2 linked regions of the Rattus norvegicus genome follow. The main gene of each other region encodes a partner of the protein of the gene in region 2 in a complex. Links are inferred from orthologs where the notes say so. Each region holds a gene or a part of one and is shown on either strand. Other genes may lie near its edges.

Region 1 (3,198 bases), on a different chromosome or scaffold from region 2:
GGCACCATCTACCTGTGGAGCTGGAGCCAGACATGGGCAAGCCGGGGCAGCCAGTCGGTGTTGCCTGTAGTCATCCTGGCCCAGCTGCAGTGGTCACCCACCAGCCTGGCCTACTTCTCACTGAGCACCTGTCCTGGTGAGCCTGCCCACCCCGTTACACTCCCTTCCTGCCCCCGCCCCTGCCCTCGCCCGGCCCCATCTCAGGCTCCCGCTCGTCCTGGCAGACAAAAACCTCGTGCTGTGTGGAGACGAGGAAGGCAGTGTGTGGATCTACGATGTTGAACACCTACTGAAGCAGCCACCTCCACTTGAAACAACTCTGCAGCCCCCAACACAGGTACTGCTGTGACGTTGGCTCCCTGCAGACCCTGGTTACCCCTTGGCTGCTGTGGGATAGGCAGGAGCCTAGCATTTGCTTTTTCCCTCCTAAGATCCTGAAGTGGCCTCAGCCAGTAGCATTGGGCCAACCAGTGACCAAGACCATGGTAAACACAGTCGTGGCCAATGCAGCCTTCACCTACCTCACTGCTCTGACGGACTCCAACATCGTGTCCATCTGGAAGACATGCTAGCCCGCCCAAGGCAGTGTGTCAGGACATGGCTTATTAGCTTGGGCCTAGTGCTAGAGGGGTTTGTACCAGTGAGTATTTTTTATTAAATTCTACTGTCGGAAGTGAGTGCAGTCACACAGGCTCCACTGGGGCTCCTACCTTGCTTAACTCAGGCAGGCCCAGCAGTCCCAGGTTCTGCCCAGCCTGTGGTTTGGGTCTCAGTGACAGGCCACATGCCGCACAGCCCCTCTTTTGCTGTACTTTATTAGGAAAATAACAGTCTATGTACAGAATGGGACAGTGTCCTGTGCCCAGCTGGAGAGCTGAGAGTGGCTGTCGCCATCGTGGTGGACGGAGAAGGGCAGATACACGCACCAGCCTTACAGCCACTGAGCTTCTTTCAGCTGCTACTCAATTCCTTCTTGCTTGTCCTTGATGGCCACCTTGATGGAGGACAAAGGCAGTGACTATGCTGGAATCACCCTAGTGTATCGGGACTGCAGGGCACCAAGACTCTGGTCCAGAGGACATAGCAGGAGGCAGACCAGGGGCTCCAGATACCTCAGCAGACTTCACCCACCCTGCTCTGTGGCATCTGCTTGCGGAGGGCCGGGGATGGAGCCGTGTGGGACACACCCAATTGGGTGAAGCATCAAAAAGTGTGGCTTACCTTACACTGAGGGCACCTGACTAAACTGTCATTCCTACCCTGGGAAGAATGGCTAGGCTACTAGACAAGGGCTTGGAGTCCTTGGGCCTTATGAGCCAGAGTAGCCAGTGGCACAGGGACAGCCCCCACCCCACACCCCACCCCGGGGTGCTAGGGATTGTACCCAAGGCCTTGATGGTGCTAGGTAAACATGAAACCAAGCTACGCCCCAGCATACATGTCACGGGGATTCTAAGTGCTGGGGCAGCTCCACTACTAAATGACACAGCATAACGCACAGCCACAGCAGCAGCCCACCAGTGTCCGCCTAACCCCTGCTCCTCACCCGGAATCGCTCCTCCAGGAGGGAGAGCTCACTGATGAGGTCTGTGATGGCATTGGTGAAAGCCTCCTGGGGGCTGTAGTCTGGGGTGGTCTGCACACGAATGATGATCTTGTGCTCCAAGGGGTGAGGGACTTTGTAGCCGGCAAACAGCACCTGCGGGTCCTTCAACAGCTGCCTGAGAAACGCGGAGTTCACAGTGAGGGAGGGAGGTCAAACCTGGCAGCCGTGCTGACCAAGGGCCCCCCACGCGCAGTTGGGAATAAGTGAGTGGTGCAGGCCCTCATTCTGGCAGCTCAGAGGACTGGGAGTTCAAGGCCAGCCTAGGCCGCTAAGTGAGCCCGTCTTAAGACACGGCTGGGGATGGAGCGCCATGGTAGAGTAACTTGCCTAACATTCATGAGGCCTGAGGTCCCTCCAGGCACTAGAGTGGGGAAAATCAAGTTACAGGGACCCAAGACCATATGGGAACCTTGTGTCTACAAGGGTGAAGGACCCTGTCTGGGAACCACATTAGTTGAGAACCCATGACCGTGTCTGCAGGCCTCACCTAAACCAACGGCCCCATCCCTAGGTACAGCAAGCAGGCCCAGCCAACCTTGTGAAGAGTTGTGGAAGTGGGGGCTGGAGATGGCTCAGTGGGTAAGAGTACTGGCTGCTCTGCCAGGACCCACGTAGTGGGTGGCTCACCTCTCACCCAGTCCCAGGTGATCCACCCCCTAGGACCCCCAAACACGAGTGGCAGACTGGACTGGAGAGATGGCTCAGCGGTGGAGCACCTACTGCCCTTGTACAGAGCCTAAGCAAGCGGCTCATGGCTGCCGACATCCTCTTTAGCTCAGACACTCGCATACACAGACCTTTCCTAGGCTGCAGGCTGAGCTAGAGAAGAGCCTTCGCTCCACGGCACCTGACAAGCATCCGGCTCTGGAGGACCTGATGCCTTCTGGCCTTCACGGGTGACAAGCATAGCCGGTTAACAAGGCAAAGCAGTCAGGAACAAGGCTTTTTTTTCCCTCTTTTTAAACTTACGACTCTTACAGAGGATCTAAGTTCAGTCTCCAGCACCCACGTCCCATGGGAGCCGTCTATAATTGCTGTTGGAGGGAATTCAGTACCATAGAGGGCACTGGCAATCACATAAGGAAAAAACACAAAATAAGTTTTAAAAAGTTGGAGGCTAGCCCGGCAGCGGTGGCGCGCGCCTTTAATTGCACACAGCACTCGGAGCAGAGGCAGGCAGATCTGACTTTGAGTCCAGCCTTGGTCTACACAGAGAAATCCTGCCTCAGACAAAAGATGGAGGCTAAAGAAGAGTTGCAACCACCATCAGCGCAGATGCCTCTGCTGGCCTCTTTATCTTTTTTCAGAGTTTCTCTTGGCTGTGCTGGAGCTCACTATGTAGACCAGGCTAGCCTTGAACTTTATAGGCTCCACCTGCCTCTGCCTCCCGAAGGCAGGAACTAAGGGTGTGTTCCACAACACCAACACTTGCTGGCATTAATGCTGCCTCTTAATGCCCACTAAAATGAAACCCTGCTTTGCTAGAGCTCCCTGACTTGATCTGAACCAAAAGACCAAGAGGCAATTGCTGGGGCTCGCTGCAGTTGTACACCACACACGCAGGCCAGCCAGCAGGCAGCTGGGATCCCAGC
Region 2 (4,352 bases):
CCCTGATGTGCCAGCACCCAACAACAGCACACGCAAAGGGAGCTGATGTCAAAGCCCCAGGACTGACAATCCCCACTCCTCCTTTTTTGCTGGACTTTACTTACATTTCAAATGTTATTCCCTTTCCCGGTTTCCTATCCATAAACCCCCATCCCCTCCCCGCCTCCCTCATACGGGTATTCTCCCCATCCATCCCCCTTACTGCCACCTCCCCCATATTCCCCTGAACTGGGGGTCCAACTCTGGCAAGGGCTTCCCCTTCCACTGGTGCCCCAACAAGGCTATTCTCTGCTACATATGCAGTTGGAGCCCTGGGTCAGTCCATGTATAGTCTTTGGGTAGTGGTTTAGTCCCTGAAAGATGTAGTTGGTTGGCATTGTTGTTCTTTATTTTTATTTATTTATTTTTTTAAGGTTTATTTATTGTGTATATAGTGTTCTGCCTGAATATACTCCAGAAGAGGGCGCCAAGATCACATTACAGATGGTTGTGAGCCACCATGTGGTTGCTGGGAATTGAACTCAGGACCTCTGGAAGAGCAGACAGTGCTCTTAACCACTGAGCCATCTCTCCAGCCCGGCATTGTTGTTCTTATGGGGTTGCAATCTCCTTCTTCTAATTCCCCCCAAGGGGGTCCTGTTCTCAGTTCAGTGGTCTGCTGCTAGCACTGACTTCTGTACTGGACATGGTCTGGATGTTTCTAAATTTTTCATTTTTTTTTTCGGAGCTGGGGACCGAACCCAGGACCTTGCACTTGCTAGGCAAGCGCTCTACCACTGAGCTAAATCCCCAAGCCCTAAATTTTTCATTCTTTTTTTTTTTTTTTTTTGGTTCTTTTTTTCGGAGCTGGGGACCGAACCCAGGACCTTGTGCTTCCTAGGTAAGCGCTCTACCACTGAGCTAAATCCCCAGCCCCTAAATTTTTCATTCTTAATCCCCACCTATACCCCAAGGGCCTGGCTAGCCTAGTACTTACTATGAACCTCTGGCTGGCTGCAAACGTTTGGCAGTCTTGTTGCCTCCACTTTCTGAGTACTGGGATTACAGGCTGAACCTTATTTCTGTGTCCCTCCTACTGACACAGCTAACGAGTTTACTGAGCAGCAGACAGGAGGAACCTTTACCTCTCTGGACTGCAACATCCTTGCTTCTATAGGCCTTACTTGGAGCAAGGTTGTGAGGACGAATACATTTGTGGGCCAGCAATATGGCTTAGCTGGTAAAGGCGCCTGTGGTCAAGCCTGATCACCCGAGTTCAATCCCCAAGACCAACTCCTCTACCCTCCACATGCACACCATAGCATGTATACACACATTCCAAGTAAGTATAATTAAAAACTTTTTTAAAAAATAAGTTTCTGGGGTTGGGGATTTAGCTCAGTGGTAGAGCACTTGCCTAGCAAGCACAAGGCCCTGGGTTTGGTCCCCAGCTCTGAAAAAAAGAATAAAAAAAAAAAAATAAGTTTGTGTTCAGGGCTGTTGAAATAGCTCAGCAGGTAAAGGTGCTCCCACCAAGCCTAACAGCCTGAGTTTGATCCCTAGAACCCACATTAAAGTGGAGGATATCTGGGTGGTGTTGGTGCATGCCTTTGATCCCAGCACTTGGGAGGCAGAGTCAGGTGGATCTCTGAGTTTGAGGTCAACCTGGGCTATGCATTGAGTTCCAGGAGAGCCAGGGAAACCCTGTCTCAAAACCCAAAACGAAACAAAAGTGGAAGGAAAAACCAACTCCACAAAGTTGCCCTCTGATCTCCACATATGGAATCCTTCCCTCCACTACTGTGACTGCCAGGAACACCTCTACACAGACCAATCAGCCTCTGCCCGTCAGCGTGATTAAAACCTGTCACTCAAGCTACCTAAGAACCTAAGGCAGGAGGATTGCTAAGATGAAGTGCTGTGCCATCTTGATGGCCCTTATCTTTTTAAAGGTCGGGCTACACAGCCCTGGCTAGCCTGGAACTCACCCAGACTGGCTGCAAACCTCCACTTTTCCTCCCACCTCAGCCTCCTCAGGGCTAGGGTTCCAGGTATGCATCATCTTATGCCGTGTTAATTTGGTGTTGGGATTTGGGCACACTAAGCAAGTATTCTACCAACTGAGCTATAACCGACTCTCCCCTATTAGCTAAATGTTTTTGGAAACAGTCTCCCTATATATAGTCCTAGCTAGCCTGGAACTCACTATGAAACTCAGGCTGTCTTTCAAACTCGAGAAATCTTTCCTGAGCCTCCCGGCTCCGGGAATTACAAACATATTGTAATTACTGTCCCATTCAATTTATGCGGTGCCAAAATGGAACCCAGAGTTTCATCCATGGTAGCTAGGCAAGACCCTACCAACTGGGCTCCTAGTCCTGCTAATTACATTTGTTGTTTAGTACACAGTCTCGCTGTACAGACCCGGCTGGCCTCCAAACTCGCAGCGATGCTCCTGCCTGGGTTTTCAGGGTGCGGGATAGCAAGGATGTTAGCCTGCGGGAGCCACCAGAGTGCCAGGAGAACGGCCTCACCACACACCTTGGCGTCGAGCGTGCGCTTGAGCTCCAGCATGTAGGAGAACTGCTCCGGGTAGATGTAGTCGTACGGGAAGTAGACCAGCAGCCCATCCACGTTGAGCCTGGCGGCGACGAGGCGTCGGTGCCTGGTGCTCTCGAGCCGCCCCGGCCTCCGCGCCGCCCGCCCGCCTCCGTGGCGTCTCCCCGCCACGGACCCCGAAGCCACCCGGACCGGTCTCCGTAGCCTCTCCACGCCGCGACCTGGCCCCGGCTACACCCACCGGCCGCCCCATCGCCCACCGCAGTGCCGACCACTCTTCCCGAGACCCCATCTCACTTCATGGCGGCTTGTCCCGGCGTCCACTCGCCCGCCTCCTGAATATTCAACGAGGGGGCGTGACCTAGAGCACCACCTTCCTCGCGATGCCATTGGCTGAGTCTTCCCGTCATTCCTCCAATCGGAAAACTGGCGCGTGCGCATAGCGGTGAGAGGGCGGACTCCGGAGAGAAGCGGTGCCCAAGGCATCGCTGAGGATCGCCGAAGACTTCGAACAGAACACAGAAAGTAGAATGTCGAGAGAATCGTTACAGTTCATTGACGTTTGCTCCTCCTGGTTCTGTCCTGGTTGTCCAAGTCGGGAATAGAGTTTAGGAGAAAATAACAGAGGAATTGGAAGCTGTTCGGAGCCTTTAAGTTACAAAGGCGAGATTGTACCAGACAAGCACGATTTATAAAATACTGGTATCCAAACTTAAGACAGGAAACCTAAAAACAGCTCCTCCTATTTATTGAACTCTTACTCTAGCAAGATTCTACCACGTGTTTTTTAAGCATTCATTAATATGGGCTGGAGAGATGACTCAGATATTAAAGCTTAGGCTCACAAACAAACAAACAAAAATGCATTAATTAAGGGCCTGGAGGAACCGCTCCGTAGTTAAAAGCACTTTCTGATCTTGAAGAGGATTAGGGTTTCCAGCCCCCACCCCCCCACCTCCAAATCAGGCAGCTTACGATCGATCACCTTTAGGACTAGCTCCATGGAATCCAATACCTCTGGCCTATGGAAGGAAGAGGAAATCTGCAGAATTTGGTTCAGCTCTTTCCTTCCACCATGTGTGGGAATTGAACTCAGGTCAAAAGACAATGGCGGTTTACCTCATGAATCTTCTCATGAACCCTTCCTGCTCTCTTTTTTTTTTTTTTAAGATTTATTTATTTATTTTATGTGAGTACACTGTCACTGCCTTCAGACACACCAGAAGAGGGCATCGGATCCCATTACAGATGGTTATAAGCCACCATGTGGTTGCTGGGATTTGAACTCAGGACCTCTGGAAGAGCAGTCATTGCTCTTAACCACTGAGCCATCTCTCCAGCCCCCTCCTGCTCTCTTTTGAGACTGTCTCACTATGTAACCCAAACTGGTCCGGAGGAGCTCACTCTGTAGCCTGGGCTTCCCCCCAACCCCCCACCCCTACTCGTGACTCACCCACCTCAGACTCCTGAGGGTCAGGATAGCAAGGCTAGACAATGCTGTCCGTTATTTCCTATCTCTGGATCCCTGCTCAAATGTCACCTTCACCTTTTTCTTTCTTCCTTTGCTCCTTCCTTCCTTCCTTCCTTCCTTCCTTTTCTTTTTCTTTTTGAGACAGAGTCTCTCTATTTAGTTCTGACACTGTCCTAGAGCTTACTCTATCCACAAGGTTGACCTTGAACTCACAAAAACCTTCCTGCCTCTGCTTCCACAATATCTGGCTATTTTCTTTTTTTTTTAAAAAAAATAATTATTTTATTTTTGATGCGTGCGTTTTGCCTCATGCATGTATGTGCATCAAGTGTGTACCTGGTAC

The links.
Region 1: Ercc2 (region 2) and Polr2j share a complex: the UniProt entries of both Homo sapiens proteins name them as parts of the TBP-based Pol II pre-initiation complex. The link is inferred for Rattus norvegicus from reciprocal best matches to the Homo sapiens genes ERCC2 and POLR2J.

What each region holds. Positions count from the first base shown.
Region 1 is NC_086030.1:26,179,013-26,182,210, forward strand, and holds the end of Polr2j (DNA-directed RNA polymerase II subunit RPB11-a), read right to left. Parts: intron 1,722-3,198; coding exon 1,547-1,721; intron 995-1,546; coding exon 959-994; 3' UTR 637-958; downstream 1-636. Other genes in the region: Lrwd1 (leucine-rich repeat and WD repeat-containing protein 1), read left to right, coding at 1-136, 225-337, 432-572. UniProt on the Homo sapiens protein: Core component of RNA polymerase II (Pol II), a DNA-dependent RNA polymerase which synthesizes mRNA precursors and many functional non-coding RNAs using the four ribonucleoside triphosphates as substrates.
Region 2 is NC_086019.1:88,159,860-88,164,211, reverse strand, and holds the start of Ercc2 (general transcription and DNA repair factor IIH helicase subunit XPD), read right to left. Parts: upstream 2,871-4,352; 5' UTR 2,841-2,870; coding exon 2,836-2,840; intron 2,621-2,835; coding exon 2,521-2,620; intron 1-2,520. UniProt on the Homo sapiens protein: ATP-dependent 5'-3' DNA helicase. Component of the general transcription and DNA repair factor IIH (TFIIH) core complex, not absolutely essential for minimal transcription in vitro.